Linked DNA regions of Stegostoma tigrinum. The protein of the gene in region 3 interacts with the protein of the main gene of each other region in a pairwise test. Links are inferred from orthologs where the notes say so. Each region holds a gene or a part of one and is shown on either strand. Other genes may lie near its edges.

The links.
Region 1: the proteins of mbip (region 3) and rap1gds1 interact in binary tests that used the Homo sapiens proteins (3 or more experiments, as listed by UniProt). The two-hybrid records come from large-scale screens. The link is inferred for Stegostoma tigrinum from reciprocal best matches to the Homo sapiens genes MBIP and RAP1GDS1.
Region 2: the proteins of mbip (region 3) and txlnba interact in binary tests that used the Homo sapiens proteins (3 or more experiments, as listed by UniProt). The two-hybrid records come from large-scale screens. The link is inferred for Stegostoma tigrinum from reciprocal best matches to the Homo sapiens genes MBIP and TXLNB.
Region 4: the proteins of mbip (region 3) and liprin-alpha-1-like interact in binary tests that used the Homo sapiens proteins (3 or more experiments, as listed by UniProt). The two-hybrid records come from large-scale screens. The link is inferred for Stegostoma tigrinum from reciprocal best matches to the Homo sapiens genes MBIP and PPFIA1.

What each region holds. Positions count from the first base shown.
Region 1 is NC_081354.1:4,868,862-4,876,550, forward strand, and holds the start of rap1gds1 (rap1 GTPase-GDP dissociation stimulator 1), read right to left. Parts: upstream 3,299-7,689; 5' UTR 3,220-3,298; coding exon 3,216-3,219; intron 3,070-3,215; exon of another isoform or gene 2,997-3,069; intron 1,196-2,996; exon of another isoform or gene 1,111-1,195; intron 1-1,110. UniProt on the Homo sapiens protein: Acts as a GEF (guanine nucleotide exchange factor) for the Rho family of small GTP-binding proteins (G proteins) that stimulates the dissociation of GDP to enable subsequent binding of GTP.
Region 2 is NC_081362.1:90,531,580-90,539,468, forward strand, and holds the start of txlnba (beta-taxilin), read right to left. Parts: upstream 3,190-7,889; 5' UTR 3,089-3,189; intron 1-3,088. UniProt on the Homo sapiens protein: Promotes motor nerve regeneration. May be involved in intracellular vesicle traffic.
Region 3 is NC_081363.1:56,749,207-56,757,147, forward strand, and holds the start of mbip (MAP3K12-binding inhibitory protein 1), read right to left. Parts: upstream 3,469-7,941; 5' UTR 3,378-3,468; coding exon 3,285-3,377; intron 1-3,284. UniProt on the Homo sapiens protein: Inhibits the MAP3K12 activity to induce the activation of the JNK/SAPK pathway. Component of the ATAC complex, a complex with histone acetyltransferase activity on histones H3 and H4.
Region 4 is NC_081370.1:62,702,150-62,710,515, reverse strand, and holds the start of liprin-alpha-1-like, read right to left. Parts: upstream 3,384-8,366; 5' UTR 3,080-3,383; coding exon 2,837-3,079; intron 1-2,836. UniProt on the Homo sapiens protein: May regulate the disassembly of focal adhesions. May localize receptor-like tyrosine phosphatases type 2A at specific sites on the plasma membrane, possibly regulating their interaction with the extracellular environment and their association with substrates.

The DNA.
Region 1 (7,689 bases), on a different chromosome or scaffold from region 3:
AGCTCAGGGACTAATGAATTTCAAAGCTGAAACCCAACACTACCTTAAGGGCAAGTAGGAATGGGCAATAAGTGCTAGTCCAGTCAGCAAGACCTATATCTCATGAATGAGCAGAAAAATGATTACCAGTCCATATGTTGTCATTTGTGGGATCTTGCTGTGCAGAACTGGTTGTCATGTTTCCTACATTACAGTAACTATACATCAAAAAGTGCTTCACTGGCTGCAAGGCATTTGGGATGTCCTATGATTGTAAGAAGAACTATAAACCAGCAAGTCCTATCTATCAAATCCTCATTGTGCAGAAACTACAACTCACATTACAAGACAACTGAATAACAAGGTCAGAGATAATGGGAACTGCAGATGCTGGAGATTCCAAGATAATCTTCGGTCCGCCTCCCCCTCTCTCCCTATTTATTCCAGTTCCCTCCCCCCATCCCCCTCTCTGATGAAGGGTCTAGGCCCGAAACGTCAGCTTTTGTGCTCCTGAGATGCTGCTTGGCCTGCTGTGTTCATCCAGCCTCACATTTTATTATCTTGAATAACAAGGTCAATTTCTTTTCTCTTCACACTGATTTTTTAAATACAAGGGTGAATGCTTGAAATGCAAATTTAAAGACAATTTAGAACTGAACCCTATTTAAACTGTACAACTTGGCTGAGCAAAACAAAATCAATTATTCTTATTGGCCACACAAACTTCATACTGAACTGAGGAACTGAATAACAAGTCAGCTAGCGGTTTCCTTGGTAATTTGTAGTATCATTAAAAAAATTACAAATCTTGGGAAATGCACCAACTTGAATTCAAGGATTATGTAACTGTAACCTTGTTCTGTTACAGTAAATCCCTAAAACACCATTCCACCACAAGGAACAAAGCAGTAGTCAAGGCTAAAGAACCCAATTCACACAAAAACCAATAGATAACACATTTCTCCAGTTTGATTACAGAAATCTCCTTGTGTACCACATTAGAACAAATTATTCAACTGTCTACATATTATACACCCATCTGAATGGTGGGAGGCAGGCTTTGAGAACTATCATTGTTCAATGCAAAACTGCCCAACAGGCTGATTTTGATTTAAAGCTTTAATTACTTACTGTATTTTCAACTGCTGCCAAAACACTAAAACATGTGCTCTCCACAACAGAACTGAAAACTCCGAAAACACTACATTCTCTTTCACTAGATCATATACAATTGTGCTTAGAAATAAAATTTTGCAATTAGACTATAATTAAGAGCAAGGATACATATGACTGGTTTCAGGAATTTTGTAAGTTTAACAAATTTTGTTGATTGTTAACTTACAATTTATTGCACAATTAAATGTATTTCTTTTCATTCTCATTTTTTCCTCTCAACTTAAATTAATGATCCAACCAAAGCACATAATTCATAAGATTGTACAAATTTGTTGAAACTTCTACTCAGCAATCTTAACCTTGCAACATGTAAAACTTCTATCTAAAATCCCACCTATAATGATACCAAATTTGTTCTGAGCACCTTGGACCACTAAATAAAGTGGCCAGTCAAAATATAGTCAAGGTTTTGCACTGCAAAGTCCAAAAACAGCAATGAGATAGTTAATCTGGTCACTATCTTCATGATGTCCACCTTATTTTGGTCAAATAAATACTTGCTAATGACATGGAAAAGAATTATTTGTCCGAAAGAAACAATCATGAGAAATTACAGTAATATTGGTGGAGATCACGCTGAGACCAGTCAGTGTTAGAAATGCAAGCCACTTTAAGGGGTATCTAGAACAACTCCGGAGTTGTAGAGTAGATTCTGATTGGAAATTGTATTTGGTTTTGGGGCCTTGTGGTGTAGCAGCAGTGTCCCTATTGCTATACCAGGAGTCCAGGATCCAAAAGCCACCTGCTTCAGAGACGTGTAAAAACATTAGATCCAGATACATTTAAAATTAAAATCTCAAATGATCAAAGAAAGGCTGATTGTCTGACTCCTCTTCCCTGTCTCTACAACCCTTTCTTAGGGCTTGTGTAGTGTTCTTATCTCTCAGCTAGGAGGCCCAAGTTCAAGTCCCAACTGCTCCAGCAGTGATTAGGAAATAAAAATCAAATAAAAAATCAAAAGAGTTCTATACTGCATTTCCCCTGTCAGGCTCTGCACTTACACTGATAATTGGAAACACGGGTGAGTTAGCAGTGGCAGATAACAGACGAACATTACGAGTGATTTGGTGGCAGAAAAAAAAGCCGTTCAGTTGTGTGCAAGAGCAGGTCTGGAGAAAAGAAAAGGAGTTGGTTCTCTAGGGCTGCTTGAGTCAGACAGTTTGGGTTCAAGACCCAGGAACAAAAACAGAAGTTGCTGGAAAAGCTCAGCAGGTCTGGCAGCATCAGTGAAGAAAAAAAAAATCAAAGTTAACGTTTCAGGTCTAGTGACCTTTCCTGAGAACTCTGGTCTTTCGGTTTTTATGGGTTCAAGATCCACCTACTTCATAACATCTCTGAACAGGCTTATTAAAAAAAAAGCTGGGTTTTCCACCCCTGGTGGACACGCCCATAACTGATTAACTGATGGATTTATCAAACAGGTGATTTGCTGGTGGGTTCTTCTGGCGCAGAGATAATACCTCTATCTCTGGACTAGGAGATCTAGGTTCAAGTCTTACATGCTCAAGAGCTGTGATAGAACATCTCAGAACAGGTTAATTTGAACATATCTTCGAACTGGATTCTTCATCAGTGGGGAATTGGCTTCTGGACAGGGCATATATGCAGAAGCATAGGTGGAAACTACTGTCAGATCTGCGAGTTTCTCCACCGATTTGCTTTCTTAACGCTGTTGTCCTTCTGTCAAGGATCTATGGACAAGGTTTCCCAAGGTCCCAAAAACCTTCTGCACATCCTACAGTCCCAAGATTCAACACACAATCCCTCGCCTGGGGAGCCCTACCAAAAGTGGTAACGCTTTCACTGACGGATGTGTCACTGCAAATCATCTCAAAGATTACACCGGCTTCCCTCAGCGGCACGTGGGCGCCGCCTGGACTTTCTGCTGGGGCTGGACAGGCGACCAGTTGGCATGCGCACTCACGAGACACACCCCACCCCCCACATGAGACCCATCGCGGAGGGTGGAGCTGACTTTACACATGCGCAGCTCCCCCTGCTAGCGCGGGCGGAGGAAGAGGGCGCGCGCGCGCGCGCACGCACGCAGGCGCGACACTCACCCATAGCGTCGGCGATCCCTCAAACGCTTATTGTAGTCGTCTCTCGCCGACCGCCCCCTCCCCCCCCCCTCTCTCTCTCTCTCTCGCTATCTCTCTCTCTCTCAGCGGGAAGGCCACCGAGTTCCGGGGCCGGTTAGATAACCGAGCGGCGGCAGCTGCTGCTCGGGGGCGGGAAGCACAAGCACGATCGGGGCCTTCGAACCAGCTCCACCGGGCCAGATGGCGAGACACCGGGAAGGGTCTGTCACATTAAACTCCGGCCGGGTTCCCTTTTTTTCCGTTTTGAGTTCGCCGTCGCCGTGTTATTCGGGAGAAGTGCGTGCCTGTGTGCGGATAAGGAAGGTGTGGCACCGTGCCTTCTCTGTCTTTCGCCCTGGATGCTCCAGCTCCCGCCGCCCCAACCGTCTTGTCTTTCTCTCCCTTCGCTCCTGAGCCGCTGCCGAGGCTGCGCGCGAGCTCACAGGCCCCGCCCCCAGACCACTGCCTATTGGCCGAACCTCTACCGGCGTTCTGACCTCTGCCCCGGGTGCGCCTTCCGATTGGACGTCCCTGGCGTTCATCACCGCCCCTCGTCTCGAACGTCCGCCCACCCATTGGACGACACCCAGACTCTCGTCCCGCCTTCCTGCCTCTCCCTGATTGGTCTAAACGTGACGTCTTGTGATTGGTTATCCGAGGTGCTAATCATGGACCGGGTCCATCGGTAACACTTCAGCGCGAGGCTATTCGGCCCCTCTGCTTCTTATGCATGGTTCTATTATCAAGAAAAATCATGGTTGATGTATGTATTAATCTGCTTTTATTGTTTAAATCTTTAGGGTCATAGAGTTTTTACAGCTTGGTTAAAAAGTCCTTCAGACCATCATGTTGGCCTGGTCATCCGTCATTAACCTAAATATTCTAATCCCATTTTACAGCTTTTGACACTGGTGATGACACCCATCCCTCTTGGGAGATGAAGGACTGTGTTCAAGGTACTTCTGTATTGTATTTTGAACAGTATGGCATCAAGTCTAAAGAGCTGGAAGGATCATTGCAAGAAGGAACTTTGTGAAGAGTACTGACCTTTTTGTTAATTTTAAGAAGGTTTGATGTCACTTTCTCATAGTTGCTTGTGAAGAACATCAAGGAGCAGTGTCCGTCCATGCCATGACCTGGATCAATGGGCTGAGGAGTGGCAGATGGAGTTTAATTTAGATAAATGTGAGGTGTCGCCTTTTGGTAAGGCAAACTAGGGCAGCACTTATACAGTCAATAGTGGGGTTCTGGGGAGTGCTACCAAACAGAGACCCTGGGAGAGCAAATTGCTGCAGTTGCTGGAATCTCTACTGAAAGCAACAAATGCTTGAGATCACAGCAGGTCAGACAGAGTCCATTACGAGAGAGAGCAAAATAATGTTTCAAGTCTGATGAAGGGTCATCTAGGCCCAAAAAGTTAGCTTTCTTTCTGTCTATGGATGTTGTCTGACCCACTGTGATCACCAGCATTTGTCGTTTTCAGTCAGAGACACTGGGGCGCAGGCTCATAGTTCTTTGAAGATGGAGTTGTAGTTAGACAGGTTAGTGAAGATGGCATTTGGTACATTCACCTTTATTGGTCAGTGTGTTAAGCATAGAAATTGGGATGACATATTGTTGCAGTACAGGACATTGGTTAGGCCACATCTGTATACTGTTTTCAATTCTGATCTCCCACTATAGGAAGGATATTGTTAAACATGAAAGGGTTCAGAAAAGATTTACAAGTATATTGTGGGGATTGGAGAGTTTGAGCTATAGGGAGAGGCTGAATAGGCTGGGGCTATTTTCCCTGGAGCATAGGAGGCTGAGGGATGATGTTATAGAAGTTTATAAAATCTTGAGGGGCATGGATAGGGTGAATAGCCGGGTAGGGTAGTCAAAAACTATAGGGCATAGCTTTGAGGTGAGGGGGAAAGATATAAAAGGGATCTAAGGGGCAACTTTTTCACGCAGAGGGTGGTGCATATATGGAATGAGCTGCCAGAGGAAGTGTTGGAGGCTGGTACAATTACAGCTTTTAAAAGGCAGCTGGATGGGTGCATGAATAAGAAGGGTTCAGAGGGATATAGGCCAAATGCTGGTAAATGGGACTAGTTTAATTTAGGATATCTGGTCGCATGGACAAGTTGGACTGAAGGGTCTGTTTCCATGCTGTACAGCTTCATGACTCTATGACATTATGAGTTCCATGCCTCAACTTTCTCCAATTCTGCATCCAGATTGAGGCTACATTACCATCTCCATATTCATTGTTAATGAGCCTGAAGATCCATCATCTTTTAACTTCAAGGACAACTGTCATTGAGCCTTGTCTGTTGTGGTTGTAAAGTCCAAATTGTGAGAGGCAATCACTTCTACTGTTGGTGCAAATGAACAGCCTAGTTCAAGGAAAATACAATACAGGTATATGTTGTAAATGCCAATGGTTCTGATTGGCTTTTGTACCCCTCTCAAGTGGTCCCCCCTTCTTCATTTCAGCTCATCAGTATAACATTTGTTTCTTTCTCTATCTCTTCTGAAGCTTCATTATTGAATTCCTGCAATTAGTTTTTGGCTCCTACCATGGCATTGAAAAGGCTCCTATCAAAGTCGCAATTGATATCCTGTTTGATTGCATAAAAGGTAAATTATCTCACCTTATTTGTCTCTACCCTTTTGCGACATTGGTATTGTTGATCACCATTCTCCACTCAGGTCTTCCAACCGTTTGGGGTCACGTGAGCCTTGTTCCATTTTTATCTATCCGTTTGTAGCTAGAATAATTACCTGCGATGGCTTCACAAGCATTCTCACGTGGTTACCTCTGATGCCATTCATTTTCTTGGTCCTGTCCTATTCCTTATTCAATGTTGCCTTTCAGAGATATCATCAGAAAATACAGCATCAGTTTATACATGTAAACTGGTGGCCCCCAGTGCTATCTCACAACAGCCCTTTTGATTCCCCTGTTGCCTCTAATTGTTGTCTCTTATCACTTTTGTGATATCTGGTACTCAATAAGCAGAAATTTCTTCCAATTAAATATTGGGAAATTTGATTCTCACTGCAAACTCTGTTCCTTAGGCACACACTGTATTCCTATCCCTGATGACCTTCTGTGGCTGGAGCTTGCTTTCATATTTGATCCCTCAGTGAGCTTCTGATTGCATCCCTAAGCATTGTCCCTAAGAGAACCGTTTCCACCTTTATTTAATCACACAACCTTCCACTGCCTCCAAACATGCTGGCCTGTGCTTCATTCTCCATTAACTTGTTCCTTGCTAAGTTTTAATTTTAAAATTGTCATTTACCAAGGAAGAAGGTATTGCCTAGGTCCTGGTGAAAGCAGAAGTTGTTCAGATATTTTAAGACACTAATACAATCAATAAGGAGAAGCTAATGAATAGGCTATCTGTAAATTGATAAGGCATTATGACCAGATGACATAGGTCCAGGAAGACTGATGGAAGTAATCATTGAAATTATGGAGATACTGTCTGTAATTTTGTAGTATTTGTTAAACTTGGGTGTTGTGCCAGAGGACCAGAGAATTATTAAATATTAAAATAATATTAAACCTTTGGTGATAAGTCCAGAAACTACAGGTCAATCAGTTTAATTTCAAATCAATTTATAGTCACTTTGAAAAGTATGGGCTAATTTAAGAAAGCCAATACAGATTTGTAAACAGCAAATTGTGTTTAAATTACTTGCTGAAGTTTTTTGAAGAGGTTACAAGGAAGATTGATGAGACTAATGTTGTTAATGTGGTGGACACAGACTTCAAAAGACATGAACTTTTCCCCAGACCTCTCAGTATCTTTACTTATATCTATTTCTTATAATGTACTGCATTAACGACGCTTTTAGTTACAATCTATTGGTTATTAGCTGCTGTAATATCTCCTTATTTAACTCAGTGTCAAGTTTTTTCTTGCGCTTTTGCATGTTACATATGACATTAAAAGTTGCTATGGAAAATGTCATTCATGTTAGCCATGAAACACCCATCTGCTGCTACTATATGTTACTTCCACTGGATATCAGATAAACACCATGACAAACCAAAGGGAATAAGAGAGGTGATATTGAAGAAGAACTGGGTAATGCAAGCACACATGTCAAGTCTGGTGTTGCCACTAACTCCAATTGCTGCACTTCCTTCAAAAATATTTATTCTGTAGAGATACTGCTGCAACTCAAAAGAAATTGGCAAGACTACCTTTGGAGCCTCAAATTATCATATGGATTTTTCTGCCTGTTCACACTGCTCAGCAAAGCAGTTTTAACAGAAGAAAGGCCCTTATCCACTGATTTGAAGCAATAAATGATACTTCTGCACGGCTGCACGTTGAATCTTCTATACGCATACTTGTGCTAGTGTACTAACTACATTTTATAATTCATTTATAGACTCTTTATGATGAGTGACGTTAGCACTGAGGAAAACCATACATCTGTGTTTTGTTTTGCC
Region 2 (7,889 bases), on a different chromosome or scaffold from region 3:
TTTTAAATTATAGGAATTCTCTGGCTTTCGTTGTTTTGCTAGGGTCAGCGTGACCTAATGCTTTTAATAAGGACCCTCTGCCTTGCTCCCACGACTTCTGTAATTCCCCCTTTCCTCCTCCCTTCAACCCACCAAGATCTGAGCACTTCCTAGTTTGGCCGATTTATACATCAGCCGTTGTTCGTTTGGTAGCACCCTCATCTCTGAGTCAGTGCATCTCTATCAAAGTGGTAGAAACATGTTAATGGGCTCACAGAATCACAGAGTTGTAGCGATGTGCAGCATGGAAACAGAGCCTTTGGCTTAACTCATCCATGCTGACCGGATATCCTAAATGGATTTATTCCCATTTGCCAGTTTTTGCCATATCTCTCTAAACCCTTCTTATTCATGCACATGTCCCAATGACTTTTAAATGTTGTAATTGTACCAACCTCCACCACCTCCTCTGGCAGCTCATTCCATACACGCACTGCCCACAGCATGAAAAAGTTGCTCCTTAGGTCCCTGTTAAATCTTACTCCTCTCACCTTAAATTTATGCCCTCTAGTTTTGGACTCCCCTACCCCGGGGAAAGACCTTCGCTCTTCAGCCTATCCATGCCCCTCGATAAGATCAACTCTCAGCCTCCAACATTCCAGGGAAAATAGCCCCAGCCTTTCGGTCTCTCCCTATAGCTCAAAGCCTCTAACCCTGGCAACATCCTTGTAAATCTTTACTGAACCCTTTCAAAGTTAACAACCTATAGCAGGGAGACCAGAAATGAATGCAGTATTCCAAAACGTGGCCTAACCAATGTCGGAATGAAATATGGGCAGATGGAAAGATGTGTGAGGGGCTTCCAGGCTTTAGGGCCTCGATGACTACAGGTGTGGTAGCAAAATGTGGAGTAAAGGCAATAGCAGTTGTCCAAAATTCAAATGATTACAGAGATATCAGGGGATTGTTTTAACTGTACCAGCCTCCTTCAGTTGTGTCTTGGCCGGAAATGTCAACTTTCCTGCTCCCCTGATGTTGCCTGACCTGCTGTGTTCCTACAGCTCCACGCTGTGTTGTCTCTGACACCAGCATCGGCAGTTCCTACTATCTGTGGGCTAGTTCTGCCATAAAACGCGTTTTGTTAATGCAAATTGACTGTAACGCGATTGATGAATAGTGGATGCAGTTTGGATAATGTGAACTTTCTGCTGTACAAGTATAATGATTTTCTACAGCGATTTCCCTATAACATGATTTTCTATGGCGCAAGGTCACAAAAGAATGCAACTGTTGGGTTTTGGAGAATCACCTGTTTCTGTCAAGATGCCCCTTAAATGTTGCTATTGCGTCCACCTCCACCACCTCCTCTGGCAGCTCATTCCTGGCACTGACCACTCTCTGTGTAAAAAAACCTCCCTCTCACATCTCCATTAAACTTAACCCTTTTGGCTTAATAAAAACCGAAAGAACTGCGGAAGCTGTAAATCAGGAACAAAAACAGAAGTTGCTGGAAAAGCTCAGCAGGTCTGGCAGCATCTGTGAACTGAGGGAAGGGCCAGTGGAACTGAAATGTTAATTCTGTTTTTTCCTTCGCAGATGCTGCCAGACCTGCTGAGTATTTCCAGCAACTTCTGTATTCGTTCCTTTTGGCTTATTCCCTAATAATTGGCATTTCTACCCTGGGAAAAACTATTCATTCTGTCCATGCTTCTTGTAATATTGTAAACTTCGACCAGGTCACACCTCAGCCTCTGAAGTTCAAGTGAAAACAAGCCGCGTTTGTCCAATCTCTCCTCATAATACCTTCTAAACCAGGCAACATCCTACCAAACCTATTATGTACTCTCTCCAAAGTCTCCATGTCCTTTGGGTAGTGCGGAAACCAGAGCTGTATGCAATAATCTAAATGTTGCCTAATTAAAGTTCTCTACAGCTGCAACAGGACTTGTCAAATCTTGTACTCTCTGCTGCAATGATGTGTGCCATATATCTTCTTGATGACCTTATCCAATAGTGATGCCACTTTCAGGGAACTGTGGGCCTAGATCCCTCTGTATGTTGATGCTATTAAGGATTCTTCCATTTACCTTTTACCTATCTCCTACATCAGATCTCCCAAATTGCATCATCCCACGTTTGTTTGGATTAATCTCCATCAGTCATTTCCCCTCTCAAGTCTCCAGCCTATCTATACCCTGCTGTATCCTATGGCAATCCTCATCACTGTCTCTAGCTCCCCCCGTCTTTGTGTCATCCACAAATTTACTGATGAAACTGCCCACATTTTCCTCCAAATCATTTATATATATTACACACAACCGAGGTCCCAGTACTGATAGCTGCGGAACCCCCACAGGCCGAAGATCTCTAGTCAGTAAAAACACTCTTCACAGTTACTCTCTGTCTTCTATGACCAAGCCAGCTCTGTGTCCATCTGACCAACTCATTGCAGATCCCATGTCTTTGTATCAGCCTGCCACGAGAGACCTTGTCAAAGGCATTGCTAAACTCCATGTAGACAACATCCGCCACCCTGCCCTCGTCAATCATTTTGTCACTTCCTCAAAAATGCAATCAAGTTTGTGAGACACAACCTTTCCTGCGCAAAGCCATGCAGCCCATAGCTAATAAGTCCATACTTTCCCAGGTGTGAATAAAGTCTGTCCCGAAGAATCTTTTCCAACCATTTCCCTATGACTGACATAATTTCCTGGATTACTTCTATTGCCTTTTTTAAACAAAGGAATAACGTTGGCTAGCCCCCAGTCGCCTGAGACCTAAATGTTCTCAATTACACTATGTGACACAGTTCTACTGATTTAAAATCTTTATTATTGACTGTTTGATTGATTTTATCGTTACTTCATAGTGCCTGTAAAATGAAGGAGCGTAATTGAGGTTTAAATTTGTTAGCATGGTACCCACTGAACAAAACATCTGGACAAAACAGGGTCAGCACCCGTAACTTCCCTCGTGCTCTCAATTTCTGCAATTATACCTTCTCAAATTCAGAGATTAAGTTAGTTTTGTCTTTTAATACTGATATTATTACAACACTGCCTTTGTTTTCTGTGCATGCAACAGATTGAGAAGTTAGATGTAAACTCACCTTAGTCTGGGCTGTGTAACTTGGTGAAGGCAGACTCACTTTCTGGAGTGACAGAACAGCTGAGGAAGCTGCGTGGCTGGAGTAATATTAGCTAAAAATACACCAGGCCAACAGTGAGTGAGGGGGAAGGGCCTGTGAGATTATACCAGTCCTAGTCCTTGGATCCCTGGAATGACTCAACTAAATCACAGCTCTGTCTCCCCACCAATGCGCGGCTCTCTATTTTTGTTTTGGAATGCTCACTAGTGTTTAAGTGACATGAAGAGTCATGTTGCAGGCACTAATGACAGTGTTGGCAGGGCTAAGCAGACTTGCATACTCACACAGGCATACACACATACACATATAAACACACACGCGTGCACACACACATACTCACATATACACGCACAGGCACACACGCACACATGCACACACACACATATGCCCACACACATATACACAAAGATACTGACACATATGTGTATTGAAACATATATGCGTGTGCACACAAACTCACACATATTAACACATATGCATATTGACACGTATGCACACGCACACAAATACACCCATATTGACACATATGTACATTATTCAAACACTTAGGCACACACATCCATGCATGCACAAATGCTCATATTCACATGAAGCTCAGTTATCAGGGAAGGTGATGACAGTGCAAGAAAATGGCCTTCAAGGAGATATTCAGCCATGATCTAGAATGGCAGAGCAATCTCAGTCGGCTGAATGATCTACTATGCTCCTGTGTGCTCCTGTTGTAATGATTGTAATGAGGTCAGCCAGTTGGACCTCACAGAATATGAGTTCTCTGATTGGGACTGTTAACTTGGTCCAATCAGGGAGCCCTCACTGATAGATATAAACAGGAGTGTCAGAGGGCCTCCTTGCTCTGAGAGAGCTGGGTCAGTGTCAATGGCTTCTCATGTGTAAATAAAGGGTGACTTGGTGACCAGGATGAGTGTATGTATGCATGTACTCACTCTGTGGAGTTGTTTCTCCAATATTGCTATATGCTCTCACTCTCAAAACTGCAGACATATCACAACAACATAGGCATACTCCCACTCACTTACACAAACACCAAAACCCACACAAGTCATTGTATCCACTCATATTCATGTACACTCACCAAAACACACTCAATATTCATGTGCATGTGCGCGCGTGCGCGCACACACACAACACACACACACACACACCCTTGCACCACCCCTCACATACACACACAGCTTCACATCTCCCCTCTCTCTCTCTCACACACACACACACACACACACACACACACACACACTCAGCCTCACATACACACACCCTCAAACACAGCCTTACACATCTGTATATAAAAACCCACTCACACAGACCCTTATACACGCATCCTCATGCACACGTCCTTACAAACACATCCTTGCACACACACGCTTCCACATGAAGCCTCATATACATTATCTCACACACACACACACACACACACACACACACACACACACACACACACACACACACACACACACACACACACACAGAGAATGTACACAAAAAATGAATTAACAACAGAGTCAATTTGCTTCAATGCTTTGAATTGTGTCATTCTCTAGTAATCACCTGCAAACAATGACAAAGTGGGAACAGGGAATGCATGTTGTAAAATATGAAATGTGCATCAGTGTTTGGTTAAACAACATTGATTTCCCTTAAGGATAGCAGAAACATGAAATCACTTGCCTAATAGTGAGTGCTGAGGATCAACTGCTACTGCTGTAGAGACTCCAACTGATTGATAGATTTGGACTGAATATCAAGGCATTTGGAGTGAGGAGGATGGGGGCATTGAGTGGTGCGGAGCTACAGATGGCTCACACTACAAGCTGGATAAGCTTCAAGGGGCTAGACATCCTCTGTCTCCTGTACCACTCGTATCGTGACACTGAAATCATTTGGAAACTACCATCTTTCAGGATGAGTTCAGTCTGGTGTAGCTGGAGGGGAATGCAATCTGCTGATCTGGAGTTTTTTTCCCTTTTATTCATTCACGGATGAGGGCGTTGCTAGCCAGGCTGCCTTATTGGCGCCATCCCTAATTACCCAGAGGGCATCTCAGAGTCAACCATGTTGCTGTTGGTCTGGAGTCAGATGTAGGCCAGACCAGGTAAGGATGGCACTTCTCTTCCCTAAAGGACATCAGTCAACCAGATGGGCTTTTCCTGACAATAGACAATGGGTTTATCATCATCATTAGATTCTTAATCACAGATATTTATTGAATTCAAATTCTACCATCTGCTGTGGTGGGATTTGAACTCAGGTCCCCGGAATTTTGTCAGGGTCTCTGGATTAACAGTCCAGTGATAATACCACTAGGCCACTGCCTCCTACTAGTTACGAAGATTCAGAATTGGAGGGGCCATTCAGTTCTTCTGGTCTGCTTCACCATTCAATTAGTGCATGCCTGAACAGTTTGTAGTTTGAATTTCAGGATCCACCCAACCCCCTACCCGATAATCCCTTGCTGAGTGGCAACCCATCCTCCACTGCAACAAAAACATTCAATGATCCCACCTTCACTGCGTTCCGAGGCAGGGAGCTCCAAAGTCACACGGCCCTGGTTTTGCCAATTGGAGGAACTAATAATCCACCCATTCCAGTCAGCCATTGCTGGGCTTCTCAGTCAGAAGGTTGTGAGATCAGCTCCTGCTTCAGCTCCAAATCCAGGTTTACACTCCCTCAGCAATGCTGGGGCTGTGCTGCACTACTGAAGGTGAGATGTTAAAATGAGGCTCTCAGGTGCAAAAAACAGCTCCTACAGCAGTCTTTGTAGAAGAATGTGGTGTTGAGTGAAATAACGGGTGTAAAGAGTTAAATATTAGAGACTGCGTTAAGTTCCATCCAATTTTTAAAAAAATTCACTCGTGAGATGTGGGCATTACAGCTGGTTAGCATTTATTGCCCATCCCTTGTTGCCCTTGAGGAGGTGATGGCGAATCACTTGCAGTTTCATGTGCTGTAGGTAGTCCCACACTGTTGTTAGTGGAGTCTGTGATGTCACACAGATGATAGGGAAAAGTCTGAACAGCTCAGTATCTTGTAGAATGGAGAGCTATATCCCAGGGATCCACATAGTTATACTAATAAAGTTTATCTTACTGACATCCCCCTTACCCAATTACCATCATGCAATCAATTAAATCTTGGTGAAATCTCCAATAAACCCACGCGCGATTTTCCCTCTATCACACTGTAGACCTTCAGGCTCAAACAAGAGCCTTGCAAGGGGATGGTGACAGCAGACTACCCCAACCACAAGTTGGCAGTGTTTGGCATCACAGCCCATGCAACATGGTGATCAACAAGAGAGCATCAGTTCTTCAGGTAGTAAGGTTGCTTTGAAGAAGATAACAGTGATGAGCATTCCAATGGACTCATGAGTAGAAACTTCCAATTGTTAAGTACTTGATGGTTTTAAGAACAACTCATACACACAGCAGGTGGCTGCCTACAACATATGAATAAAAAATTGGCCTGTAGACAAACTCATAAAGTGAACGAAGGAGAAACTGTACTTAATGGTAAAGCAATTCAAACCTGGTAAGTGAAGTGCTGCAGGAGGAGGGAGCTGGAAGGTGAGCCGGCAGTTGCAGCATCCATTGGGAGGTAAGGATCTGTACAGCATTCCTGATTAGAGGCTCAAAAGGAAGTAAATGGTATTTGGAATTCTACAAGTTAAATATCTTTGTTAGGCATGTGACGATGCTGTGGCTTTAAGAGGTGTATTTTTGTCCTGGTTTCTTTTAAGAGAGAGATTGGAACAAGAGTCAATAAATGTGAAGCTGGAGAAGCACAGCAGGTCGGACAACATCCGAAGAACAGGAAGGTCAATGTTTTGATCTGAAAACCCTTCATCAGGGCTGGGGAGGCAAGCCCAGAAATAAATAGATGGATGGCCATGGGGCTGGGGGGAAGAGTAGGTGGGATGGAGCTAAGTGGATGCTGGGAGGGGGTTATTGTGGTGGGTCACTGGGAAGGGTGGAGTGGATAGGTGAGTTGGAAGTTGGCGAGGCTGGAGGAGATGGGATTTTCAAGTTGGTGAAGTTGATATTCAGGGCCAATAGGCTGTAAGCTCCCAGCAAAATATGAGGTGATGTACCCCCAGTGAAGGAGGTCAAGGATGGACATGTCACCAGGACAGTGGGAGAGAGAGTTAAAGTGGATGGTAACCAGAAGGTCGGGTTGGTTGCTGCGTGCAGAGCACAGATGTTTTGCAATCCATTCCCCAACTCTGTATTTGGCTTCCCCAATATAGAGGAGGCCACATCGGGAGTAATGGATACAATACATGAGGTTAGATGAAGTGCAAGTGAATCTCTGCCAGATTCTGAAGGATTGTTTGGGGCCTTTGATGGAGGTGAGAAGGGAGGCATGGGGCAGGTGTTGCAACTCCTGCAGTTGCGGTTACCATCCACTTTAACGGCAGTGGTGGAGAAGTTGGCGGGGAATGTAGAGCTGATGAGGGAGTCATGGAAGAAATGGACTCTGTGGAAAGTGGACAGGAATGGGGAGGGGAATGGTTTTTCGGTGGTGGGATCTGGTTGTGGGTGGCGGAAATGCCAGAGGATGATGCATTGGATTTGGAGTTTAATGGGGTGGTACGTGAGGATTGGGGATTCTATCTTTATTGTTGTTGGTGGGACAGCATTTGAGGGCAGAAGCATGGAAAATGGGGGAGATGTGGCTGAGGCCATTGTTAATAACAGAGGAGGGGAAGCTATAGTCTCTAAAGTAAAAGCGTATCTGGGAAGTCCTA
Region 3 (7,941 bases):
CCTATTCATCAGTTGCGGTGTAGCCAATTACCGTTGCCAGAACACGCATTATAGTAGAACCAACCATACTTGCATACTAACATTTTGTGACTCATGTACGAGAACAACTAAACATGTGTCCTTCAATTCCATTGTCAAATCTGACTCAACCACTGAAAACGTTATCATATTGCTTTCATGTCTGCTAAACTGCTTACAATTTCAGGATCAATGATAAAGGAGTCTAAAACCAAACCTTGGATTCTTTCCTCGACAGAAAGCCATCTTCTTTAACTACCTTCACTGTCCACTCCAAATTACAACCACAGCATGGGGAACTCATCAAGACGATCGGTCTGCTGTCTTTGCTATGACCCTGCGTTCTACTAGTCTGCTAGATTAAACTTCCAATAATGCTCCCCCACTTCCAGCTCTATTCCTGAACTCACATCTCTTTTTATAGTTTCTCTCCTCTCTGCCCTCATGCTCTCTCTAAGCTCATCTTGTCTATTAGATTCATCCAATGCACCGGCAATCTCTCTCCTTCAGTTCTCTGCCCGAAAAGAGGTCAGTCTAACAATGTCATGACCTCTGCCACATATAGAGCAAGGAGGGGCTAGCCTCAAATCCACCCCGGTGAAAATGGGAGTTATACAACCATGACAATGGCATCAATCTGTGTTGCAGGATATATCTGTGCTTGTATTTTGCATGATCTGTGAGTAGTTCTAATAAAGACTCCAACTTGCTTTCCATCACATAGCTAACCAGGGAATTCTTCCGCTCTTACCTTCTGCCACCTGTATATGTTAGAAGATTACACAGTTTGAAACTCAACCTGTTTGGTAATGTTAGGAATATTTCTTCCTTGGCCATCTGGTCCTGAGATGAGATCTGAACTCTGAGTTTCTGATCAGAGGCAAGGATATTATCATCTGTGCCATAGGACGTCTCCAACCAGCCCATTCTCACCAAACTACTAACTATCCACTTCCTCTCCTAGTCCCTATATTACCCAATGTTGCGAACAGATTTTCCAGTGTGGTTACCCATTCTTTTAAAATCTACCAAACTTCTTGAACACTATAGTGCCATTTCCAATCACACATTTCTCTCCATAATCCGTGAAGCAATTTTCACCTCCCAAATCTTTTCCCAGAAATCCATGAATAGAGGACCTCAATTTAGTTTTCCATACCAACCATATTAACAAATCAGCTCTTATCAAAGTAATAAACAACATCCTCTTTGACTGACAAAAGTAACTTTGCTTCTGTGGCCTGTATGCAGCACAACATGAGAACGTGGTTCACCACACCATGTTCGTCCAATGCTTCTCCATGTTCATCCATTCGGGCTGCTCTCGTCTGGTTTTGTTCTTATCTTAGGTTGGCAAATAATTTGCAATGATTTCTCTTCCTACACTAAGACTTTAGCATCCCCAAATATGGAGACTTGAACCCTTCTTATTTCTCATCTACATTTTCACCTTAGGTGGCAACACCTGAAGGCATGGCATTAGTCCTAACACACATTCTGATGACACCCAATTCTATCTCACCACCATTCTAAACTTCACCATTGTTAACAGATTGCCCGCCTTGAAAACCGAGGGCAGAGATATAGGATTATCACCACTTGCAAATACCCCTCCGAGCTACACACCATCCTGACTTGAAACTATATTGCTGTTCCTTCACTGTTGCCTGGGTCAAAATCTTTGCTAAGCAGCTGTGGATGTACCCACACCCCAAAGACTACAGTGGTTCAACAACACAGCTCACCACCATCTTCTCAAGGCAATTAATGTTGGCATCACCAACAACGCACATATCTTAAGAAGAAATTGAAAGAAAGACACTCCATACCTGACACCAGTATTGAACACACCACTATCTCCTTCAATTAAAACACACAGTCATCACTTTTGACCCCTGCTCCAAATCCCATTGCCTAGCAACTGGCTTTATCCCTCTAAGCTAATCTGTTCTAAGCTTTATTGCCATGTTTGACCCAAAATGAAATTCCTACCTCATATTCATGTAATGACACGACTACCTATTTCCAAATCCATAACATCATCTTTGTCTTTTTGTCAGGTCATCTTCTACTCAACCCTTCACAGACAAGTTGGGCCAATGGTATTCCTTCCATGCTGCAAAATCTCTATGACTCCAAGTGGCATTCACCCATTGCACATGTGTTCTCAGCTTGACTGGGAGCCAATATACTATGCGTTGATTTTTAAAACACACATTCTTGTTTTTAAATCCATTCATAGGCTCCCCTGTATCATTGTAAAGTCCTAAAGTTCCACAATGCTCCAAGACATATTGTGTTCTTCAAATTCTAGCTTCTTGAGCATCCCTGATTTTAATTGCTCCACTGCTGGTGACCAAATCTTCAGTTTCCTCAGCCCCAAACTCTAGAATTCCCCCTCTCTGCTTAGTTTTCCATCTTCATGATATCCTGATAAGGAAGTTTTGCTAATTCTATTGGCTCCACCTATTCTACTGATGTCAAGCTGTGAATAGAGGCAAGGAATTCGACTCTAACTTTTGGATGGATGAGCTGTGCTTACACTACCTTTTCCCCTTTGCTGTCATACGTATAAAACCATGTTTTTCTGGAGGTACTCTACAATGGCATATCCTGTACTACTAAGCACTAGGTAGGCCCAAAACAAAACAAAGCAAAGACAAAAGGATTGGTGACAGTAAACTACCTCAAACAATTCTTACCAAGTACCACATTCTGGTAAAGGTCGTTAAAAAAGGTAACAAGGAGTGGTCACCTGCAAAAACACCCCAAAATTTACGCTTTAATCTAGATGTTGATACTATATGGCTCTCTTACACTTTTATAATAATGTGAAAAGCCTTAAGTTGTTTTGATACACCAAAGCAAGTTATTGTTGAATTGTGCATTATTTCTAATGAAAAGCCAGTATCTACCTAAAACAATGTGTAAAGATGCTGCCTGAGGTCGCTCCACCGTCATTTAAACAGAGAGCGCTAACTCAAACGCACGGCCAGCTCCTCGGGCAGACATTTCTCGGCGAGTGAAAACAGATCCGCCTGAAATTACCTCGGTGCTCGGCGGCCGAAACCACAAACCACACCCTCCCTCCCCACCGTAAGCTCGGGCAATATCCGTTTGAGCCGGGGCTGGCGTTTTACTCCAGGCCCAGGCTCGGCGCGGGCCCGGGCCTGAAGACTATCTGCCCGCCCCCCACTCAAACAAAAAGGTCGGGGAGAAGATCCAGGACTTTTCAAATCAAAGAGATCGGGAGCGCGGTAACAGACCTGCTGGTGGAAGCGGCTGAGCGCATTGAGCAGGGTGTGCAGGCTCTGGGCCATCTCCTTGTCGGCAGCCCCTGGTTCTACCTCGGCCGCCATGACCGAAGCGAAAGGCGAGCAGGAGCAGCTCACAGGAGGCACTGGTACATTCTACACTGCACTGCCTGAGATCGAAACTTCACACACCTTCTCTGGCCGTCTCCCTAGCAATAAATATGTTGCATCTATCACCGATATTGGGCGCAATCTCTTTTTAACGCGTCTTAAAAGTTTCAGTTAAAGTCACATATTTAACAATTTTTAAAAAAAAACACCGAGATTTTTTTTGCTCGACAGAAGCCGAGTGTTTTCGGCGATTCTTGTTTCTATTGCAGCAGTTTCTATATTTGCATCTCCTCCGCCAGTAACTTGGTTCTAAGTTAGCGTCTAACCAGTAAAATGTTCCATTCATCGAAGTGTTATCGCACGCAATTTTAAAGTCAGCCAGGTAAGGAAATAAAAGGGCAGTTTCAATTCAAGGCACCCACTCTCCTCACCTCTGAAGTTTCATCGCTTTTATGCATGCCTGAACTTTCGCTGTAATCAGTGTGGAGTAGCTCTGGACAACTATCAGTGAACACTATTAGTTCGCAGTGTCGACTACATCTTTCATCACCTTGCTGATGACTGAGAGTGGACTTATGGGGTGACAAGTGCCGAATTGCATTTGTCCATCTTTTTTGCAGATAGTTTTCCACAACATTTGGTAGATGCTCTTATGTACCTGAACTGACAGTTAGTCCAGCAGCGTGACTCCTGTGAAACGCAAGGGTAGGAAGAATATAAAAGCAGAGTTTTGTTAAACATGGAATGTCTGAAGTGCAGAGTTATGTTGCGCATGAGTCATGATAAGTTAGTACAACTGTACAGCAAGTAATTGAAAGATTAATAGAACCATGTCCATTACTACAAGAAGAATTGTACGTGCAAATGTTGTGTTTCAGTTATATTGCAGTTTGCGAGACCACGTTCTGAGTACTGTTTGGTCTCCTTATATAGTAAAGGATGTAAATATTTTGGAGGCAGTTCTGAGAAGTTTTGCTAAGTTGATGCCCAGAAGGAGTGGGTTGTCTTTTGAACAAAGATTGTACAAGTGAGATAATGGGAACTGCAGATGCTGGAGAATCCAAGATAACAAAGTGTGGAGCTGGATGAACACAGCAGGCCAAGCAGCATCTCAGGAGCACAAAAGCTGACGTTTCGGGCCTAGACCCTCCCGAAACGCCAGCTTTTGTGCTCCTGAGATGCTGCATGGCCTGCTGTGTTCATCCAGCTCCACACTTTGTTACATTGTACAAGTGAGCCTTTTTCCACAGAAGAGTGACAGAGGCATATCGAAAAATATAAGATCTTCATAACCATAACAAGGTGAGTGGGTCCAGACTAGGCACTGTTTTGTTTTAAAAACTAGGCTTGCCCTTTTTAAGGCAGAGATGAGGAGGGTTCTTTTTCTCTCAGAGGGGTGTGCAACTTTGAAGTTCTCTGCCCTAGAAGGTGGCGGTAGGTACAGCCGTTGAATACTTTCAAGACAAGTAGTTTAGAGAATCAAAGGTCAGCCTGGGGTAGGTGGGGGCTTGGGGTTACGTGATGTAGTGTTGAATTTCCTTCATTTGGACTTTATGAAATATTAGAAAGACCCTCAAACTCAATGGACACGGCACTGCAACTAAAATTCATTCTTCCACGCAAATGCACAGAGGTTAAATTCAGACAATGGCTCAGCATGAAGGATTCAACATTGTCTAAACCCAAGAAATGCAGATACTGGAAATCTGACTGTCACTGGACCTGAAACATTGACTCTATCTTCTCTTCACAGACGCTGCCAGACCTACTGAGATTCTACGACAATTTCTGTATTTGTTTCAACTTTGTTTGACTGCTACCATGTGACAGTGGTGCAGAGAAATGTAACAACGCGCCTGATGCAATCCTAGAGAGTGATCACATACGACAAGGATTGTATTGGACCCTAGCCATTGTTATGGAGATGAGTTCCCATTCAGGAGGGAAATCAATAATTTGAGAAGTTGTCCATCTGGATTTAGGCCCATAATTGGGGTGGAGTGGCAGATTATAAGGACAATAAAGTTACCTTCAGCCCAGTGTCATCCATCTGTGCTAGTTACAGAAGGGTTTACCATTCATGATACTGCCCAAAATGCACAATGTATGATGTTCATTTGAGAAGTGAAATATACTCCAGACACAGGTGACATCCTGAGAGGGAGGAATGCCTATGAAGACTACCTACTTCTGGCACTGGTGGCTGAATTTTCATAGTGCAGCCAAGGCAGGGTAAAAGAAAGATGTGCCAGCAAATTTATAATCGCACTACGGCATGCTGAACTCCTGAAGCTTTCCCATCAATTCAGGTGGAGGCATTATATAGTGCCAGTTTAACCAAGGAACATTCAAAGTTATAGTTTTACATATCAAAACACTTATCTTCCTTTTACGATCCAAACCTCTTTTGGCCACTTCATCTGTTTAACTAGCTTTTCAAATGAGATAAAATACATTTTGTTGAATTCAGGCACCAAGCATATATAAAATCATTTCCCTCATTGGAATCAGAATCATCCTCTGAGCTGCTATCTTTTTTATTCTAAGCCTTCTTTTGGCCCACTCCTTTTTTTAAAAATTCCCAATCTCTTTGGAGTTCCAGTCTTTTCAATCCATCTCCTTCTGTTATTCTTTATCCTTTTTTTTGTTTTATGTTTTTTGAACACTACCTCCCTGTTTTCTCTCTACTCACTTTCCATTTTGCTCCCTTTTCATTTTCAAATTTTTTTTTCATTTTTCTTTTTCCAGTCAATTCTTTTTCCTTTCTTATCGTTTTGTTGCTAATCCCAGTTCCTTTCTCCTGATTCTAAATATTGTATAATCACTTGATGCATTTCGCCCTTATGGGACATTGCTGTTTGCTCTTCTGTTCATTTATCTGCTAACGGTGTTTAGATTTTGTCAAAGATTTTAGATATTACAATTTCGATTCCAGAAAAGCCTTAGCAAATTCAGAGTCATCTTCAACTCTCTGTACAATAAACTTCACCACAACAAAGCTGCTTTTTATGCCCAGAGCCACCATGTAGCCATAACTTTAACAATTCACCATTAACAGTTGATTCAAAAATTCCCAGACAATCCTCCACCAGAATGACCCACCAGAAGTTATTACTGTTTTGTTTACGTTTTGACAAGGTGGTCTCTAACTGAAATATAAGCATGCAATGTTGCAGATTTGGTTTCAACAGTAAAGTAAATTTTATTTCACACCAGCTATGAAGATAAAATAGAATAAAACCGAACTATTCACACAATACAAGTTTAGAGATTTTGAAACACACAGCAAATACAATCCCACTCCTTTTCAAATTCCCTAAACCATTGCTTATGCAATACACAAAAGCACACCTTGTACCGTACTCACACTGGAGAAGAATGCCTTCAGTAACACCTTGATAGGTTTAATTTAATGTTAACTTCACCTCCCATTTGTAGAAAACCTGAGCCTTTGCTTGGAGCATTAGGCATGGGTTCAAAACCCATCACGGAAGCCTATGAAGTTTAAATTCAATTGAATAGGACTTAGGAGTAGAGCATTTGGGTCTTTGCACTTGCTCCATCACTTAAGATCATCACTGATTTAGCTGTGGTCTCAGCTACACTTTCGCATTTGCACCATGTAATCCTTGACTCCCTTGTTATTAAAATTCCATCTAACTCATGAGCCTCAAATAAATTCAAAGATCCAACTTCACTGCCTTCTTGGAAGAAAATAAGACCATAAGACATAGAAGCAGAAATTAGGCCAATCGGCTCAGCGAGTCTGCTGTGCCATTGAATCATGGCTGATAAGTTCCTCAACCCCATTCTCCCATTTTCTCCCTGAAACCCTTGTTCCCCTTGATAATCAAGAACCAAGTCTTAAATGTACTTAATGACCTGGCTTCCACAGACTTCTGTGGCAGTCAATTCCATAGAGTCACCACTGTCTGGCTGAAGACGTTTCTTCTTATCTCCGTTCTAATAGGTCTTCCCTTTACACTAAGGCTGTGCCCTTGGGTCCTTGTCTCTCCTACAAATGAAAACATCTTCCCAACATCCACTGTGCCAGGTCATTCAGTATTCTGTAAGTTTCAATTAGATCCCCCCTCATCCTTCTAAATGCCAATGAGTAAAGTCCCAGAGTCCTCAAGCGTTCCTCATATGTTAAGCTTTCCATTCCTGGGACATTCTTGTGAACCTCCTCTGCATGTGTCTTACTAATGATCCTGAAGAACATAGTTCTTCTTATCACTGTCTTAAAAGACAGACCTTTTATTCTTAAACAATGTCCCTAATTTTAGCCTCCCCAACAAGAAGAATCATTCTTTGAGTATCTCCCTATCAATTTCTCTCAAGATCTCATATGTTTCAATAAGTTTGTCTATTTCTGTGATTGGTTATCTCTGATCTTTCTGTCAAAACTCTTAATGTAAAATAGATCAGAGTTTGCATTCTGTCCATTCGCATTTGGATAAGGATTACTTATTGTCCTGTAAATGATGCGGCTGCAATACTGAAGGAATCTTGATTGTAATGTGCTAAAACATCGGTGGGAAGAACGCCTCCTTTTGAT
Region 4 (8,366 bases), on a different chromosome or scaffold from region 3:
TACTTACCTGCAGGGGTGGACAACAGTCTGTTGTGGCAAAAGAGTAGTTTGTCCAATATTTCCTGTGGTGATCTATTTAAAACCAAAGTTCCCTTTGTTCATCAAGCCTAACAATAGAAGTTATAACTGTAACATATACATGATGCCAATTTAGTTGTGCTGACAATATGACAAATGACTGCACGAATCAAATACAAAAACAGACAATACAATTAAAACTGAAACACTTGTGAACACGAGAAGAATGTGCTATTTTAGAATTGTGGGTTATAGAAGCTTTATATCGCATTTAAATTTAACTGGTTCCACTCCATTCCATTCCACTGAAAATGCCTTTCCAATCAGTTTCTATGATGACCACAATGACAATCTACATCATCTGTGTAGCCTGTTCAATTTAACTATTTTAAGGATTCATTAGTAATATTATTACACAATAAACGGAAGCAAATCCAAAATATGCAAACATTTCACCAAAAAACTGGGAACACTTCTTAATCTGATTATGCAAGTACATGATCAGCAGCCCAAGACAACAGCACTGAAATGTCAGATCATCAAATCTTCCTTGAAGGCAAGTAGCACTCTTATCAACAATGCATTTTTAGTAATAAACAGTTTCCTCAAAAGTTTAGGGGTGAGCTATAACCTTAACTGTGTCACCATGAGGAAAGCACATCATAACACTCAATACCTGCCAGACTGACATCTCACTTCAGATTTTACAGATTCTCTCAAAATATTGAGAATCAGTGTCACCACTCCACCAAACATTTGTCGAAAATGTATGTAATAAAAATAAGCATTAAAATATTTTGTATTGTGACAGTGATAGGATATAGCTCCAACAGAAATGAAGACCTACTCCATGAATTTGCAAAAAGCAGCCTTAGGCCAGGATAGTTGTGGGTGTGGAGGGGGAAGATGATCTACAGAGAAACAAACAAAGTGGCCAAAAAATGGAACAGCAAAATGATCTACAACTAGCGGAGACAAGGTTCCCTTCTTGAAGCATTTGGACAAGTTTAAGAAAAAAAAAGACGATTTTGTTTTATGAAACCAAAGCGCTCAGCTTTTCATCCTGCAGCTTTGTGGAAAGTACAGTATCAGGAGGATAGGGAGAGGGAGAGAGAGCGAGAGCACGCGCGCGAGAGAGAGAGAGAGAAAAAGAGAGAGAGAGAGAGAAAGACCACACATGACAGCGCGAAGGTGGCACAGGGAAGAAAAGGGAATGCGGTGACCTGAGGGGGGAAATCGAGGTGGGCAACAAGAATTGAGGGGAGAGGATCAGGGTGATGGATGGGGTTCTTGGTTACAGGCTGGTTGAGTGTCAGGGGTGGTGTTGATTAGAGCCTGCGTGAGGGTTGGGTAGGTGATAGAGTCTAGTACAGGGGTGAAGATAGGGGGGTGGTGTGGATTGTTGGTTCAGCAGATGGGGTTGGGATGAAACAGAGAGGTCGGTTGAAGGAGTGGGGTAGTTTGATGGAGTGAGGGCGGCCTCACAAGGCGAAGGGGAACCGGGAGGATTTGGTTGAAGGCGCGAAGGGGAACGGTGGGGGGGGGACACGGGGACTGGTTGAGGGGGTGGAGGGGGAACATGGGGACTGGTTGAGGGGCTGGAGGGGGTGAAGGGGGGGGGGCGCCTGGTGGGGGGGGGGGGGCGCCTGGTGGAGGGGGGGGGCCTGGTGGAGGAGGTGGAGGGGGGGAGGGGGGCCGCCTGGTGGAGGGGCTGAAGGGGGGGGGCGCCTGGTGGAGGTGCTGAAGTGGGGGAGGCGCCTGGTGGAGGGGGTGAAGGGGGGGGCGCGCCTGGTGGAGGGGGTGAAGGGGGGGGCGCGCCTGGTGGAGGGGGTGAAGGGGGGGGCGCGCCTGGTGGAGGGGGTGAAGGGGGGGGCGCGCCTGGTGGAGGGGGTGAAGGGGGGGGCGCGCCTGGTGGAGGGGGTGAAGGGGGGGCGCGCCTGGTGGAGGGGGTGAAGGGGGTGAAGGGGGGGGCGCCTGGTGGAGGGGGGGCGCCTGGTGGAGGGGGTGAAGGGGGGGGGCGCCTGGTGGAGGGAGTGAAGGGGGGGGGCGCCTGGTTGAGGGGGTGAAGGGGGGGGCGCCTGGTGGAGGGGGGGTGCCTGGTGGAGGGGGGTGAAGGGGGGGGGCGCCTGGTGGAGGGGGTGAAGGGGGGGGCGCCTGGTGGAGGTGGGGGGCGGGGGCGAGGGGGGGCGCCTGGTGGAGGGGGGGGCGTCTGGTGGAGGGGGGGGGGCGGAGGGGGGGGGGGCGAAGGGGGGCACCTGGTGGAGGGGGGGGGCGTCTGGTGGAGGGGGGGGGCGAAGGGGGGGCGCCTGGTTGGAGGGGGGGCACCTGGTGGAGGGGGAGAAGGGGGGGGCGCCTGGTGGAGGGGGAGAAGGGGGGAGCGCCTGGTGGAGGGGGAGAAGGTGGGAGCGCCTGGTGGAGGGGGAGAAGGTGGGAGCGCCTGGTGGAGGGGGAGAAGGTGGGAGCGCCTGGTGGAGGGGGAGAAGGGGGGAGGGGGAGAAGGGGGGAGGGGGAGAAGGGGGGAGGGGGAGAAGGGGGGAGGGGGAGAAGGGGGGAGCGCCTGGTGGAGGGGGAGAAGGGGGGAGCGCCTGGTGGAGGGGGAGAAGGGGGGAGCGTCTGGTGGACGGGGTGAAGGGGGGGCGTCTGGTGGACGGGGTGAAGGGGGGGCGTCTGGTGGACGGGGTGAAGGGGGGGCGTCTGGTGGAAGGGGGGGGTGAAGGGGAAAGGGGGGGTCTGGTGGAGGGTGTGAAGGGGAAAGCAGGGGTCTGGTGGAGGCGGTGAAGGTGGGGTTCTGGGTAAACCTGGCCCCCGCGTCCCCTACCTGAGGTAGGGCGGTGTTGAGCTGCCTCTGAAGCGAGTCCCTCTCATGGAAGGCCTCCTGCATCTTGGCCTGACACAGGGCCAGTGCCTCCTGGCTCTCCCGGAGGCTCTCCAGCAGCTTGTCCCGCTCATCCAGCATGTTCACCATCAGCTGCTCGAAGTTGGCCTCGGTGTCGGCGCCGCACTGCGAGCCCCGGGGGCTCAGCGTGTCCTCGCTGATGGTCGGCATCACCTCGCACATCATGGTGGGCCGGTGCTGGATATGAAGCCGGGGGCCGAGGGGAGGCCTACTCTCCCCAGGCCAAGGGGAACACTGACCCCGACTCAGGGAACAACAGCGGCCTGAGAGCTGAGGCAGGCCGGGGCCCAGGCTCCACACAGGATCCTCGGTAGTCGGTAAATGTACACACGGTCCCGGATCTCACACACACCGGCACAGCCTGCCGTGTCCCTCTGCTATCCCTGTCCCGAGGCCCGGCTTCCTCACATCTCCCGCTTCCAACCGGCACGGCGTCCGCGACCCCGACAAAATGTCCGCGCACTCTCCCGCGACCTGCAGCGCGCACGCGCGCGCACCCACCGTGCGCCGCCACCTCGCGCATGCCGTGCCCCGCCCCTCCTCGTCCCTGGCTCCGCCCACGTACCCAGCCGTTGCTGCAGGCCCCACCCACCTCTTGGCCCCACCCATCCCCCCTTGGCTCCGCCCCGGGAGATTCCTCCTCTGTCAGAAGCGAAGAGGCTGTTCAGCCCATCCTGTCGCCAGCAGTTCAATGAGCCCCGTGAGATCATTGCCAATCTCCGGCATTTTCACCATTTCCTTGCACTTTGTTTCTATTTAAGTAATCATTTGGTCACCAAATAAATAACGTTGCCGAGATAGTAGGAACTGCAGATCTGGAGGGAGGAGGGTTACTCCTTCAAGAAGTTGCCAATGTCCCTTAGAGTTGCTCTCAGATCACAGAGAGAGCTGAATTACGGTGGTTTAACCTTAGGGTCTCAGTGCCTCAGATGAGGGGCAAGGGTGAGAAGGAGTGTTTTCATGCTCTTCATTAGTGACAATCACTCACAAAAGAGGATGATTGTCCTGAGATAGTAGGAACTACTGATGCTGGAGAATCTGAGATAACAAGGTGTGGAGCTGGATGAACACAGCAGGCCAAGGAGCATCAGAGGAGCAGGGAAGCTGACGTTTCGGGTCCAGGCCCTTCTTCAGAAATAGGGGCAGGGAAGGGGATTTTGAAATAAATAGGGAGAGAGGGGGAGGCAGATAGAAGATGGATAAAGGAGCAGATAGGTGGAGAGGAGACAGACAGGTCAAAGAGGCAGGTATGGAGCCAGTGAAGGTGAGTGTAGCTGGGGCATTAGGGAGGGAATAAGTCAGTCCAGGGAGGTGATGTTCCTGCAATCTTCAGATTATCGTGAGGTGAGTTGGCTCGCCGAGTTGGGCTCTTGTTTAGAAACCAGCTCACCAAGACAACCAACCTCAACACCCACAACCCGAGGTACAAATCTACTCCAAAACCTTCAGATGATTGTCCACTTAGAAAATTCTGTGTCTCTGATCATGAGTTCTGTGGACCCTTTTGGGACTAATGACCCTTATATGCCTTGGCATCACAACTGCATATCTGAATACTTCTTTAATATTACAGGGGTTTCTACATCTACCACTCCTACAGGAATAAGATCCAGCTTCCTGCCACCATCTTAGTGAAAAAGTTTCTTTCTCACGTATCCTCTAAACCTTCTGCCCCTTACCTCAAATCTACACTCTGTGGTCAATGGCCCCCCCCATCAAGAGGTAACATTTCTTCCTGGTAACCTATCTATGCCCCTTATAAATTTATTCATCTCAATCATGTTCCTGCTCAATATTTTTTCTGCTCAAAGGAAAACCACCTCCATTTGTTCAATCTCTCTTGAAAATTGAAATTGTCCAGCCCATGTAACACCCTGGGAAATCTCCTCTACACACGCTTCAATGCTAACACATCCCTCCTCCACGTCAGTTTCTTCTGAACAAAATACAGTAGAGGAACTGAACCCAGGCTGCTGGCACCTACATGGACTATGGCAAGCAAACATTTAATGTGATCCCAAATGCCTCAACAGAATCTGTTTCCGTGACATTTCCAGACATTTGCTAAGTGAAAAAGATATTTCTCACCTTGCATTTGCTTAGTTTGCAAAACACTTTAAAACTGTGCTCTCTGGTTCTCAATCTGTTTATGTGTGGGAACATTTTCTCCTGACTTATTCTGACCGGATGATGTTAAAAATTTCCCATGAAATCTCCCCTCAGCTTTCTCCCTTTCCACGGAAATTAGTCCGAACTTCTCCATTTAACCTCATCGCTGACACCATCCTTGGAAAACTCTTCTGTGCTTTCTCAAATGTGCTCACATCCTTCCTGTTGGTGGAGTTGTGGACAGCATGGGGGGCTGTTGTAGGTTGCAATGGGACATCGACAGGATACAGAGCTGGGCAAAGAAGTGGCAGATAGAATCCAACCAGAAAAGGGTGAAGTGATTCATTTTGGAAGGTTGAATTTGAATGCAGAATACAGGGTAAATGGCAGGATTCTCATCAGTGTGGAGGAACAGAGGGATTTTGGGGTCCATGTCCATAGATCCCTTAAAGTTGCGACCCAAGGATTGAAAAGAAGGTGTATGGTGTATAGGCTTTCGCTGGCAGGGGAATTGACTTTAAGAGCCATGTGGATATGCTGCAGCTCTATAAAACTCAGCTTGGACCACAGTTGGAATATTGTGTTCAATTCTGGTCACCTCATTGCAGGAAGAATGTGGAAGCTTTAGAGAGGGTGCAGAGGAGATTTACCAGGATGCTGCCTGGATGGGAGGGGGCAGGTCTTATGAGGAAAGGTTGAGGGAGCTAGGGCTTTGATCATTAGAGTGAAGAAGGTCAAGAGTTTACTTGATAGAGGCATACAAGATGATGAGAGACATAGATAGGGTGTATAGTCAGGGACTTTTTCCCAGGGCGGAAATAACTTCTATGAGGGGGCATAATTTTAAGGTGATTGGAGGAAGGTACAGGGGAGATGTCAGAGGTAGGTTCTTCACACAGAGAGTGGTGGGCGTGTGGAATGTGCTGCTGGTAGTGGTAGTGGAATCAGACACTTTTGAGACTTTTCAGCAACTCTTGAATAGGCGCAAGGAGGATAGTAAAATGTAGGGATGCAGGGTAGTTTGATCCTTGTAGGATAATAGGTCAGCACAACATCGTGGGCCAAAGAGTCTGTACTGTGCTGCACTGTTCTATGTTCTGTGTTCTGTAGTTTGGAACCCAGATCTATACACAATATTCCAGCTGAGGTCTAAGCAGTGTTTCTTACAGGTTCATTATAACTTCCTTACCCTTGTTCTCTACACCTGTATTAATGAAGCCTGGAATATTGCATTCTTTATTAATCCCTGTCTAAATGAGTTAACAAATGCATGACAGATGCCTTATAATGTGGGCAAGTGAGAGGTTATGCACTTTGGGAACAAATACAAGAAGGCAGATTATTGTCTGAATGGCTATTATATTGAGAGAATGGAATTGAGACCTGGCCTGACTTGTACACCAGTCACTGAAGGTGAGTAAAAATCAGGAATAAAATCAGAAGTTGCCGGAAAAGCTCAGCAGGCCTGGCAGCGTCTGTGAAGGAAAAAAATCAGAGTTAATGCTTCAGGCATGCAAGTGCAGCAGGAGGTGAAGAAGGCAAATGTTATGTTGGCCTTCATAGCGAGAGGATTCGAGTACTGGAGCACGGCTGTCTTGCTGCAATTATACAGAACCTTGGTGATTTGATTTGATTTATTATTGTCATGTGTACCTAGATACAGTGAGAAGTTTAGCGTGCACACCAGCAGATCATGACATACAAAGACTGAGGAATATAATGTTTCAGCTGTAGAGAAAGTGCACAAAGAACATTAAATTTGAAACTTGAGAGGCCCATTCAGAAGTCTACTAACAGGGAGAAGAAATTGTTCGTGAATCTGTCAGTAAATGTGTTTAAGTTTTTGTATTTTCTGACCAATGAAGGAGGTTGGAAGAGATTATAACCAAGGTGGGAGGGGTCTTTGATTATGTTGGCTGCTGTTCCGAGGCAGGGAGAAATATAGATGGAGCCAATGGATGGCGAGTGGAATATTGTGTGCAGTTTTGATCTCCTTATCTGAGGAAGAACATTCTTGACATAGAGGAAGTACAGCAAAGGATTACCAGATTAATTCAGAGATAACACAGTGTGGAGATGGAGGAACACAGCAGGCCAGGCAGCATCAGAGGAGCAGGAAAGGAGCCGTCAGTTTTCCTGTTCCTCTGGTGCTGCCTGGCCTGCTGTGTTCCTCCAGCTCCACACTGTGTTATCTCTGACTCCAGCATTGGCAATTCTTCCTATCTCGCCAGATTAATTCTGGTAGAATTCCAAATGTTGGGACTGATATATGAGGAACTGAATAGATTACATTTGCTGGAATTCAGAAGAATGAAGGTGGATCTCAGCGAAGGCTTAAAATTCTAACAAGGCTATAAAGGTTAGATGCTGGGACAATGTTACCAATAACCAGGAAGTCCAGAATCAGGGATTTCAATCTGGGGATGTGGGGTAAACCATTTAGCACTCAGGTGAGGAGACATTTCTTCATCCAGAGAGCGGTGAGTCTGTGGACTTCATGGCCACAGAAAGCAGTGGAGGCAAACTTTGTATGATTTCAGGGAAGGATAGAACTTGGGGCTGAAGGCATAAAATGATGTATGGGGGAAAGCAGAAACAGGTTATTGAGTTGGATAATCAGCATGATCATCATGAATGACAGATCAGGTTTGATGGGCCAAAGGGCCTACTCCTGCTCCTATTTTCTATGTTTCTATGTCTCTACCTGTCTCACCTTTAATAACTGACATACATATACACCCAGCTCCCTCTGCTCCTACACAGCCTTTAGAATAGTATCCTTTATTTTATACTGTCTCTCCATGTTATTTGTACCTAAGTGCCTTACCTCACATTTCTGCATATTGAACTTCATCTCCACCAATGTGTGAATGTCTTTTGAAGAGTTACACTGTCATCTGTAAATTTGGAAATTAGGTCCTATGAATATCAGGAAAAGCAAGAGTTCCAAAACTGAGCTGTTGAGAATTCCACTGTAAACATTTCTCCAGGCCAAAAAATACTCACCAGTCATTGTGCGGCACTGTTTCATCAACATGTTTTGGAAATCTATGTACACCACATTACATTGCAGCTATTGGGTGAAAATTTGAAATAAAAAGAGAAAAAAACAGGTATGTTCATTCCAATCCTGCAAAGGTGCAACCTGCCGTCCTTAGTCCCATCTGACACAATGCCCCAAAAGTCTAAAGGTCTCCATCCTGCATCATTTTTTCTGCCACTTTCTCGATCTTTCATGCTCTAACTCACTGGCATGTGGTTGGAAAATAGGAACAGGAGTTGGCCATTCAGCCCATTGAGTTTAACCCACCATTCATTAGGATCATGGCAGATTGAACATTTC